Linked DNA regions of Mus musculus. The protein of the gene in region 1 purifies or fractionates together with the protein of each later gene. This does not show direct contact. Links are inferred from orthologs where the notes say so. Each region holds a gene or a part of one and is shown in the gene's direction. Other genes may lie near its edges.

Region 1 (3,644 bases):
CTTCACTTTCCATCCCAATAGGCAATGGAAGTTGGAACATTTGTGCTACAAATCAGGGGAACTTATCACGGAGACAGGTTACATGGATCAGGTACATTCTTTTCTTGTTTGCAGAGAGGGGAAAGTGTTCAAAATTTCTGGAAACAACCCGAGCAGCGAGTGTGAGCCTAAAGCACCCCTATTGTTTTTTGCTTTGACAGATAATAGAATACCTTTACCCTTGCTTAATCATTACACCTTTGGACTGCTTCTGGGAAGGGGCAAAGCTACAGTCCGGGACAGCATACCTCCTGTAAGTGCACCCTCAGTGTCCAGCCGCTGGACTCAGTGACAGTTTCCGGTGTGGCTTATCATTGTTTATTCTGTTTCAGTTTTGGACAAGAAATAAAAACATTGAAATTCCATGCGCATTTTTTTGAGTGAATGGTGGGGGGGGAGGGGATTTCAGCAGAATGTTTTTTTCCTCTTTTCAGAAACAGTTCTGTAGGCATCATTAGATTTCATTCACTTTTACCAACCTATTTATATGCAAATAAAATGCAAATCATTGCACAGTCTGTACAATTTTTTAAAAACTCTTTATAAAATGCTCGTAGTTATGCAGACCAACACTCAGACATTTAAGAAGATAATTTATTACTGGGTTCTTGTCACAAGGAAATACTTCAGCTAAGGTTCAAGATATTCCTGCAGAGAAAAATATGGACCCTACTTTGGATCATGGTAATGATGTTTAAGCGGGGAAATGCGCTGTCTATAAAGGCCGTGATAAGGGATGCTTCGTAGCTCAGCAGTTAGGAATTGCATACACCACACCATTTAAAGAATGATGGTTACTCGGTGTAGACTTTCTTCAGCTAATTATGCGAGAGTTAGTGCTTGGGTTATTGTTTCCGTCCTGGCCCGCACATATCTGCAAAAGCAATTTGCAGTGGCCATCCCCTGACCTTCAGTGTACAGTTTTAGATGGGAAATAAGGGGTTTTGTGTTTTCTGGTTGGGAGACTCTGAATAATGACTTCAGCCTGGTTAAGCAGCTACAGTACGGTTTGAACCACATAACAGGCAGCCAAAAGCCTTTCTGGTCTGTCAACAGCCCAGTTTCCAAAGTGAGTGGGGGGTTAGGAGTGGCTGTAATAGTGGTGATGGTAGAGTCCCGGGGGGGGGGGGGCGCTTGCCCACCCCACTGGCAACCTGTGAGAGGGACCTCGTAAGAATGATTGTTAAAGTTAGCAGATCAAATACTTGGATTGGTCACATTTAAAAAGCAGTTTTTAAGCAGGCAGGTAATATTGTAATTCATTCTTTCGGTTTTTCACTTTGGAGCTCAGAAGAACCCATCCCTCCCCCCACCAGCTAATTTTTTTTAAAGGTATCAAATACTATATCAGGGGATTAAGATTGTCTGTTGGTTCCCTTAATTTGCAAACCCTGCTTGCCATCCTCAGCCATGGATTCTTTTCCTGACTTAAGTTTGCCAGTGGCTTTACTGGGAAAGAACTTTTATATTTTCTCCTTTCCTTTATACTCAGGCCCCAGAGTTTTGCTTTAATAAGCCTGTGTTGTGCAAATGCAGCCATGTGCCCTCCTGCCTGTCTGAGCCACATTTTTCATGGCCTCACCTCTAATTTCTTTCGCAGAGGTAAGCCTCCTTTACGGTGGACAAACTTTGACCCCTTGGAATTCCTAGAAGAGTTAAAGAAAATAAACTACCAAGTGGACAGCTGGGAGGAAATGCTGAATAAAGCCGAAGTTGGCCATGGGTACATGGACCGGCCTTGCCTCAACCCAGCCGACCCAGATTGCCCTGCCACAGCCCCTAACAAAAATTCAACCAAAGTGAGTTTCGGGGGGGGTGCTTTTCTGTTTTCACTTACAGTTCTCTCTATGATTTTCATCCTGAAGATTTCGTTTGGCAGTGACTTTTGTTCCTTTTTAATTTGGTGTATGGAACTAAGGTTGTTCACAGAGCTGAGTTTTGCTGTAAGATTTAGCATAACCCTCATTAGTCTTGCTATTAATGTTTTCTCTGAAACAAACAAGCCCTTAACGCACTGGATCTTAACGAGGCATGTGACCTGCCTACTAATTCCCATAATTATGTGACTGTCTTTTCATTACAGCCTCTTGATGTGGCCCTTGTTTTGAATGGTGGATGTCAAGGTTTATCCAGGAAGTATATGCATTGGCAGGAGGAGTTGATTGTGGGTGGTACCGTCAAGAATGCCACTGGAAAACTTGTCAGGTAATCCAGCAGAGTACCCCCCACTCTAGCCTGTGCCCCTTTTCTTGTACACAGGCCTTTGGACTCATGTAAATCTTAGCTAGCTGTCCAGTTCATTGAACCTTGGGGAACATTAGCACACCAGACCAGCTTGCAAAGAGATCTTGTGGGCAAGGTTTTCTAGAATGGATTTGTAGTTTTCATCAGAGCAGTAGCTGTTGATTTCAAGGTTTTGGAAGGTCTGCCCTTACATAGACTAATGGGATAAGAAAATCCAGTATTAGTGTACAATGAGTTGAGGGGTAGGAGCTGATCTGTGTCACGCACTGTTAAGAGTCAAAGACCAGGAACAGCAAGCAAGGCAAGAGTTGGCCTCTGTGCAGCCAGGATTCCAGTCAGTCAAGTGTCAGGTGTTTCGTCTGAGGTTTCTCCCTCGGGACACTGTCTCTGGGATTTCTGCACACAGAGAGTGTGTGGCTGAACCCAGTGTATCTGGTCAAGCTATCTACTCCCCTCTCCTTCCTGTTTCATGGAATAGGAACTGAGAAAGGAAATTGCTTATTAATTTAATTTTGGGGTCTATCTGTAAAAGGTTTGTAAGGTTACACCTTTAATATGGTACATCAATCTATTAAATACAATAACCATCCTGGTCTTGTTTGAATGGAAACATGTGCACACAGAGGAGGGAAGAAGTCTGAGGGAAAACTGGGGATGCTTGCTTGGGACTTCACATTGCACACACTGCTTGGCCGCTGTGCTGACCTTCCTTCTGTCCATTCACCTTGACAGCGCTCACGCCCTGCAAACCATGTTCCAGTTAATGACTCCCAAGCAAATGTATGAACACTTCAGGGGCTACGACTATGTCTCTCACATCAACTGGAATGAAGACAGGGCAGCCGCCATCCTGGAGGCCTGGCAGAGGACTTACGTGGAGGTGAGGCCCTGCCTAGAAATCAGGACAACTTGTAACTGAGCCCAGTCTTCCTTTCCTATTGAAACATTGTTTCCCGTTAGGTGTAGTGGGATTTTTGTTTGTTGTTTAGTCTAATAGTGCAGCCCAAGCAGTCTCAAAATTGCTGTCCTCCTGCCTCAGCCTCCTGATTGCTGGGATTACACCACTGAACTCAGCCTCCATCTCTTCAATACAAACTTTAATTCTAAGCACTGCATGAAATGCAAGCTTGATTTTCTTTATCCAGCCATTGAAAGTTTTGGGAGTAGTGTCTGAAGAGACACTCATTCTTAGTTGGGGTTCCCTGAAACATGCCTAGTAACTATTGTAGATCTCAGAGCCCAGGCATAACAGTGCAAAAGGGGGAGGGGGAAAACCCACACTGGGTGAACAAGAAAAGGTGTCTGGAAAACATTAGCAAAACAGAATCTATTCACAGCTGCAGGCCCCTTGGTCAGGTCAT
Region 2 (3,644 bases), on another chromosome or scaffold:
CCGGGACTTCTGCCTGAACCATCTGGAAGAGGCCAAGCCCTTGGTGGAGTTCTACGAAGAGGTAAGATGGGCGAAGTCTACTGAGATAAAGGTGCGTAAGCACCTTGCTGTGTCTGAGGCCCCTGGCATCTAGCTTCATGCCGTGGCCACAGACAATCATCTATAGGTATTCCTTCTACCAGATCAAGAAATATGAGAAGCTGGAGACAGAGGAGGAACGTGTGGTCCGCAGCCGAGAGATCTTTGACTCCTATATTATGAAAGAACTGCTGGCCTGCTCACATGTAAGAGTCCTGTGGGGTGTGAACTCATGTGTTGATCCCAGCAACGTGGGATTAGAAGGAAAGAAAGAGCCTTATATAAGATTCACAGCCACCTCTGTCCTCTCCAGCCCTTTTCAAAGAATGCTACGGAGCATGTCCAGGGCCACCTGGTGAAGAAGCAGGTGCCTCCAGATCTCTTCCAGGTTCGTGCTGGGTGCTTCTCCTCTTGCCCCCATTCTGCCCAGATCAGGCCCTCCCGCCTTAAGTCAGCTGGGGCCCTGGAGCCTGGGGCACCGCAGACTTAGTCACCAATTCCCAGCTCTCTCCCCACAGCCATACATTGAGGAGATTTGTCAGAACCTCCGAGGGGACGTGTTCCAGAAGTTCATAGAGAGGTAAGTAGGAGAAGCAGCCTGCCCTGGCTCTGAGCAGCCAGGTGTGGGGTCTGTCTCTGTCCCATCACAGGGACTCTTGAGAGGTCACATAGATCCAACGTCCTCTTCTCCCACCCTGTATCTCCCTGTGCTATGGAGTGTCAGGGTCTAGCAGGGCTGTACCTGAAGTACACGCTTCCCTCTGTGGTGAGAACCACCAGTGTCTAGGCAGAACGCTAGGAACAGCTCTTTCAGTCACCGCCACCCAGCCATGGGAGGTACAGCGGGCTGAGTAGGTGACATCACTGGGAATGTGAGTGAGCAGCAGGTGCTGTACCCTGGTGGAGGTCTGACTGGCGAGCATTTCTCTGATTGCAGCAGGACAACATGGTTCAGGCTGCAGAGGCTTGTTGGCCTGAGCTAACCATAGGCTCAGGAGGTCTCTATGTCCACGTGTCAGGACCCTGGAAGGGCAGTGGGTGGATCGGACTCTGATGACGGCCCAGTGCCTTGATGCTTGCTTGAGTGTGTCTTCTCCTTCTTCCCCAGTGACAAGTTCACACGGTTCTGCCAGTGGAAGAATGTTGAGCTCAACATCCACGTGAGTGGGTTCAGGGAGCTGGCATGCCAGGGGACCCTGGGGAAATGCAGTGGCCAGGGCTTTGCCGTCGGCCCCACAAAGGTGACTCTGGGGGGAGGAGGGCCAGTGCTGGGATCCCAGTAGGAGAGGCTGGAGAACGGTGAGTGTGTGTCTAGATCACAGGAGTAGGAGACCCCGGTAGCAGGGCCTGTCCCTGCTGCCCACATGCCTCTGCTGTGGGGCTGGGGAGGCAGTGACCCTGGCTGTTACCACTCTGCAGCTGACCATGAATGACTTCAGTGTGCATCGAATCATCGGGCGTGGGGGCTTCGGTGAGGTCTATGGGTGCCGGAAAGCAGACACAGGCAAGATGTGAGCACCCTGATCAGCTGGCACTGGGTGGGGTGCCCGAGGGAGGAGTCAGGCTTCTCGAGGTACCATGAGGGACTGGGACCTTTTAAAGAACTGTTCCGGGGATCAGTGTCCCAAGCTTGCCATCCCTGAGTCTCTGCCTACAAGTGACTCCTGCCCCTGTCCCCTCCTCCCTGTTTCGCTCTGGCTGTCCTGTCTCCCTCGGGCTCCTCGGAGACTCACTTGCCGGCACCTCCTGCGCTCTCTAAAGCACTGGTTGTGTCACGTGGTTTGTCTTGCATCTGGTCTGCAGCAGCAGCCTGCTGAAGCAGCTGGGGCTCTCCCCTGCAGGGCTCGCTGACACTGCTGACCTACTCCTCCATCATAGGTACGCCATGAAGTGTCTGGACAAGAAACGCATCAAGATGAAGCAGGGAGAGACCCTGGCTCTGAACGAGCGGATCATGCTTTCCCTCGTCAGCACCGGGGTGAGTTGGGTGGCCAAGCGGGCCTCCGTAGTGACCTCTGACCCCAGCCTCGGCCAGCCTTCCCTCACTCACCTTCCCCTCCATCCTAGGACTGCCCCTTCATCGTGTGCATGTCATATGCATTCCACACACCAGACAAGCTCAGCTTCATCCTGGACCTCATGAACGGTGAGCTCGGCCCTAGGGGGTGGACCTAGGGCTGGACCTGGGCAGGAAGCTGAGTCTTACCTGGGGGCTACCCCTCAGGTGGGGACCTGCACTACCACCTGTCTCAGCATGGAGTCTTCTCTGAAGCCGACATGCGCTTCTACGCCGCTGAGATCATCCTGGGCCTTGAACACATGCACAATCGCTTTGTAGTCTACAGGGACCTGAAGGTGAGGGGCTGCTGCCACCTGCCTCCTGCCTCTAGGCCTGCAGCATGGCCAGCTTAGCCTCTTTCTGAGTTCAGTTGTGATGGAGGGGTGAGCAGTGAGCGGGAATGGGGCGGGGGGAGGGGAGAGGCGGAATGCCCTACCTGGGGCCTTGTCCCAAAACCATGTAGTTCCCTCCAGTGAGGGTCCAAGCTGGCCTCCTGGTGAGCTCTCTGGGCTTCCTTCACAGCCAGCCAACATTCTCCTGGATGAACATGGCCATGTGAGAATCTCGGACCTGGGCCTAGCCTGTGACTTCTCCAAGAAGAGGCCTCATGCCAGTGTGTAAGTGCCTAGCCATTCCCTCCATTCCCAACCTTCCTCCACTTCGCTTATAGCCTGTGCTCCCACAGGGGCACACACGGGTACATGGCCCCCGAAGTCCTACAGAAGGGCGTGGCCTATGACAGCAGTGCAGACTGGTTCTCCCTGGGCTGCATGCTCTTCAAGTTGTTGCGGGGGTGAGTAGGCTAGCCCAGACGGGCAATCCAGATAGGAAGCGGGGAGGAGAGCCCTGTAAAGCCTGGGTGTTAAGAGGTGGAGCCTCCCTCAGCGCTCACTAGCCCTGCCCACCAGTCCACCTCACTTTTCCCATCCTTGCTCTTTGCCTCTTGTCCAGACACAGCCCCTTCCGGCAGCACAAGACCAAAGACAAGCATGAGATTGACCGCATGACGTTGACGATGGTAAGTATAACGGTGGCAGTGAGGCCTACGTGGTGCCAGAAGCATAAACTCCTGGTTCTCTCTGCCGGCTCTCCCGTCTCTGTACCTGAGGGCTGGGCTGCCGCCCTGTAGCCTCTTGCCTTGCCTGTGCTGTCAGAGCTCACACTGGCTGAGGACCAGTGGGAAGCTGGGCCTCATCTCCTTCTGCTGGCCTCTAACCCTCCCCCGGAGCCAGGCTCTCTTCCTGGCTTCTGTTGACTCCTCCTCTTTGTCCTGAAAGGCTGTAGAGCTGCCTGACTCCTTCTCCCCTGAACTCCGATCCCTGCTGGAAGGTTTGTTGCAGAGGGACGTCAATCGGAGACTAGGCTGTCTGGGCCGTGGGTGAGTATCCTGGCCTCTCCACCATGTGACCATACTCAGTCTTTGCTGGGCTCTGCTGGGCCAGCCTGCCTGGGCCTCTGGCTGTGCCCCCTTAGAACAGTGGTTGTGTCGCATCATTTGAACCCTCCT
Region 3 (4,311 bases), about 37 Mb from region 1:
TATGTTTTAGAGAGCACAGGATGGTGTGGTGGGAGGGGGTGCCCTCAGTGGGCCCGTACTGAGGCTTCCACTCCTCACCCCAGGTACCAGCCATATGACGGGTCTACCATAGAACAGCTTACTTGGGGGCATGGGAAAGGAAGGTGAGAAGTGAATAGAGACAGAGAAAGAGAAGGGACGAGAAGGGGGGGTGGGAGAGAGAAAGAGAGAGAGGAGAAAAGATGGGGGGAGGGAGAAGGAGAAAAAGAAGAAAAGAAGCTGGCCAGGAACCTGTGAAGAGAGGGAGAAGGGAGAGAGGGAGAAAAGGGACAGAGAGAGAAAAGAGGGCAGAGTCAGAGAGAGAGGGAGAGGCCAAACAGTCCTTTTTATAGCAAGCCAGGCCTACCTGGCTGTTGCTAGGTAACTGTTGGGCGGAGCATAGAAGGAATGCCAACAACCTGTGCTACAAGAGATCCTGGTCAATAAATAAATCCGCGTTAGTGTTACTGAAAATTAATGTGGAAAATTTCACTGAAGTTAATAAGCCTTAATAAGGAGTTTGACATAGAAAGATAGAGAGTTGCAATAGAGATCTTTGTTAAATAAGATTTTACAAAACTATATTTTTGGAGTAATCTTAAACTTAGAGCAAAATTAAGCATAAGGCACATTTTCTTTTATCACTGGGGCAGTCGCTATTGGGGAGCTTGGTATGTTAATCTATTTGCTTATAATAACCATTTACAGCTGGGCGGTGGTGGCACACGCCTTTAATCCCAGCACTTGGGAGGCAGAGGCAGGTGGATTTCTGAGTTCGAGGCCAGCCTGGTATACAGAGTGAGTTTCAGGACAGCCAGGCCTATACAGAGAAACCCTGTCTCGAAAAAACAAAAAGCAAAAACAAAACAAAAAACATTTACTATGTGTATGTGTGCTAAAACTTCATGCTATCAACCTCAAAATCCATCCCAGATAGCTGTTGGAACAGTCATATTAAAGACCGTCTCTGCAACAAAGCTTTCGGGAACTCTTAAGATAGTATTGGCACTTCTATAGAAGAGGATGAGAAACAATAAATAGGACAACAGCAAAACTGATATGCGTACTCCCCACAGTCATTTTCCTAAAGTCCAACGGAGTCGCCTGGGCTAGCTTGGACAGCACACAAGTGAGCACTGCACGCCATGCCTACCTAAGGCAGGTGGCAGCAATGCGACTTGTGCGCAGGCATAGAGCCTGACCTCGCGAGGGGTGGGCGGTGCTGCCAGCGGCAGCCTCGCTCTGGCCCCGCCCCCGCCCCACCCCCGCCGAACTTGGGATCGCGGGATCGCCCAGGAAACGCATTCTACGGGAACCCGCGGCGCCAATGGGAAGAGAGCGAGTGCCACGAACTGGCCAATGAGGAGCGAGCGGCCCGGGGTTTAAACCTAAGCCCGGCAGACTCCTCCCGGCGTGCTGCGGAGGAACGGCTGTTAGTGTTTAGCTGTGGATAGCCAGAGGTTAGGGTGTCTTCTCGAATCGGGGAACCTCTGATTTTGGAGGAGCCATGGCGCTCAGGGTCACTAGGGTGAGTCGGGCCAGGCGCTGCGGTGATCGCGGCGGGAGAAGACCGCGGGATCCCGGAGCGGGAGGGGGATCCGGGAGGGCTCCGGCGAGGCCGGGGAGCTGAGGACCCACCTTATGGAGGGTGAAAAAGACCTCTGGACCTATCTGGGCTGCAGGACTTGTGGGGAGTGGGTGCTGTGCTCTTAATGGTGAAGGCCCAGGGTGAATTCTTCGCCTTCCCGGAGAGCTGTCTACGACGGAGGCTTTTATGGCATCCTTTCCGATGTAAATTCACCATGTTTAGGGTGGCTTAGGACTTAAGGGGAAACTGGATTAAAGGTGAAAGATTTGGGTGGAAACTTGCTTGTCACGGCTGGAGGCTAGATCCTACCACCCTTGCTTTCCTTAGTTAGGTCCCGCCTTAATTAACCCGTGACTTCCTCGGGGCTGCCTGCTTGCTGCCGTGGACCCTTTTCAAGTTGTTCTTTTACTTCTTTCAGAACACGAAAATTAACGCAGAAAATAAGGCCAAGGTCAGTATGGCAGGCGCCAAGCGTGTGCCTGTGACAGTTACTGCTGCTTCCAAGCCCGGGCTGAGACCGAGAACTGCTCTTGGAGACATTGGTAATAAAGTCAGCGAAGAGCTACAGGCAAGAGTGCCTCTGAAAAGGGTAACTATCGCCCTGAAAAGGGTACCGATCTCCCTAGCCCAATTAACCTGAAAAGGCCCATCTTCTAGCTGTCACCCTTGGGAAAACATTCTGTTCTCTCCCTTTCATCCACAGGAAGCAAAAACGCTAGGTACTGGAAAAGGTACTGTTAAAGCCCTACCAAAACCTGTAGAGAAGGTGCCTGTGTGTGAACCAGAGGTGGAACTTGCTGAGCCTGAGCCTGAACCTGAACTTGAACATGTTAGAGAAGAGAAGCTTTCTCCTGAACCTATTTTGGTAAACTTGCATTTTTTAAAAGTTTGTTTCTTCTCTCTGACTTCATTTCACGTTGATGCACATGACAGCATTTAAATATATTACTTATTATTGAGTGGCTAGCAAAAACATTTTACATGCATTAACGACTCTGGGGTGAGTATTAGCACCCTGCGTCAAATGGTGGCAGATAAATATGGTGGGGCTTTTTGTTTTATGTAGACACCAGAGTCTCACTCACTATGTACTCCTGGCTGGCCTGGGACACGGATGTGGGCATAAATCATTTTCTTTTCTGTGTCTCTGTAGCTCATGCTGTCCTTGAACTTGAGATTTCCACCTCCAATGCTGGGATGGTATATTCAAAAACTATTTTTAAAAAGATTTCAGGCAGAGAAATGAGATTAATTAATAAAATAAGGTGCTTGGTAGAATCCCAGTATTCTGTCTGGCCAGAGGCAGGTGGGGCTCTGAGTCTCTGTAACAAGGTCCAGTCTAGCCAGAGCTACATATAGTGAAACTCCGTATTTGAAAACAAAAAAAGATGATAATGATGGAATGATGGGTTAGCATTTAAGCCTAAAAATGAAGTTTGCCTGAGTTTGTAGCCTGTTAGATTGTGTTCAGCATATTAGGAGGCCCTGGGTTCAGTCCTTGAGTATTAAAATGCAAAAGAGAAAAATGCAACAACAAAAAAAGCATACACGTCGAAGGCACCAGATTTTACTACTAGGTGTGATGATTGGTGCATGTTTGTGATTTGAGCACTTCTGCTAAGGCAGGAAGATTGCAAGTTTAAGGCTAGCCTGGGCTCTCTGTAATCAGGGGCTTGGATACACCTGAATAAAGATTGCTGGCTTAGCATTCTTTTGAATCAAGTTCACGTGGGGCTGAGCTGATGGATAAATGACTTTATTATCTGTTCCTTTGACTTGCTTTACCTACTAGTATTGAGAGTACTTTTTTGTGTGTCTGTGCCCAATTGTGTGTATGTTAGGCCTGAAGAGACAGAGTTCTTTGGAGCTGGAGCCGGCGTTGCAGGCGTTTGTGAGCCACCCAGTGTGGTCGCTAGGATCTGAATTCTGTCCCTCCTGGAGATCGAGGGCTCTTTAATTGCTGAGCCGTCTCTCCAGCTCCCATCTTCTCTTTTGTATTTTGTGTGTGAGGACACAGTTAGAGAGGTTGGAAGACAACTTTTGAGTCAGTTCTTCCACCTTGCGGGTTCTAGGGATTGAACTCAGTTGTTAGGCTTGGCAACAGGCACCCTTACCAGGCTTGCCAGCCTAGTTTTTCCTACTTTTAAACTGCCTTAATCTAAATCGGAGTTTCTTTTTTTATGAGACCAGATCTTGCTGCCTTGTAGTTTGCTATGGAGACCAGGCTGGCTTCATCTCACAGAGATCTGCCTCCCAGGGGCTGGGATTAAAGGCCTGGATCACCATGCCTGGCTCTGTTTGTTAGTTTTTGCTGTTTATGTGTACGATTTGTTTTTCATGAGTGGGATGTGGGTTTGCACATGAGCGCAGGGCCCAAGGAGGCTGGAAGAGGACGTCAGATAGCCTGGAGCTAAGGTTGAGTCCTGGTTCCTGAAGAGAAACTGGATTCCAGCCCTTGGCAAAAGCAGCAGATGTTCCTTTACAGCTATAACTATCACTCCAGCCTAGTGTTAATCATTTCCCAAGAAGAAATTGGGGGAAAGAGTCTGAAATGCTTTCCCTTTATTAGTGAAATGAGTTACATTTATTGAGCATGCTGTACTGAATTGCGGATACAGATACTGGCTTTCCTTCCCTTAATGTAGCCTGTTTCACGGAGCCTCTCTTTTTTAAGGTTGATAATCCCTCTCCAAGCCCGATGGAAA

The links.
Region 2: the proteins of Ptch1 (region 1) and Grk2 purify together in Homo sapiens (affinity purification with western blotting; 3 studies listed by BioGRID and IntAct, with this or other methods). This does not show direct contact. The link is inferred for Mus musculus from reciprocal best matches to the Homo sapiens genes PTCH1 and GRK2.
Region 3: the proteins of Ptch1 (region 1) and Ccnb1 purify together in Homo sapiens (affinity purification with western blotting; 3 studies listed by BioGRID and IntAct, with this or other methods). This does not show direct contact. The link is inferred for Mus musculus from reciprocal best matches to the Homo sapiens genes PTCH1 and CCNB1.

Annotation. Positions count from the first base shown.
Region 1 is NC_000079.6:63,541,684-63,545,327, reverse strand, and holds part of Ptch1 (protein patched homolog 1), read left to right. Parts: intron 1-21; coding exon 22-91; intron 92-200; coding exon 201-292; intron 293-1,639; coding exon 1,640-1,838; intron 1,839-2,122; coding exon 2,123-2,244; intron 2,245-3,015; coding exon 3,016-3,163; intron 3,164-3,644.
Region 2 is NC_000085.6:4,289,184-4,292,827, reverse strand, and holds part of Grk2 (beta-adrenergic receptor kinase 1), read left to right. Parts: coding exon 1-61; intron 62-182; coding exon 183-284; intron 285-391; coding exon 392-466; intron 467-596; coding exon 597-658; intron 659-1,186; coding exon 1,187-1,238; intron 1,239-1,497; coding exon 1,498-1,589; intron 1,590-1,956; coding exon 1,957-2,056; intron 2,057-2,145; coding exon 2,146-2,224; intron 2,225-2,302; coding exon 2,303-2,433; intron 2,434-2,659; coding exon 2,660-2,754; intron 2,755-2,822; coding exon 2,823-2,930; intron 2,931-3,088; coding exon 3,089-3,155; intron 3,156-3,414; coding exon 3,415-3,515; intron 3,516-3,644. UniProt on the Homo sapiens protein: Specifically phosphorylates the agonist-occupied form of the beta-adrenergic and closely related receptors, probably inducing a desensitization of them. Key regulator of LPAR1 signaling.
Region 3 is NC_000079.6:100,783,617-100,787,927, reverse strand, and holds the start of Ccnb1 (G2/mitotic-specific cyclin-B1), read left to right. Parts: upstream 1-1,441; 5' UTR 1,442-1,525; coding exon 1,526-1,546; intron 1,547-2,024; coding exon 2,025-2,195; intron 2,196-2,309; coding exon 2,310-2,471; intron 2,472-4,280; coding exon 4,281-4,311. UniProt on the Homo sapiens protein: Essential for the control of the cell cycle at the G2/M (mitosis) transition.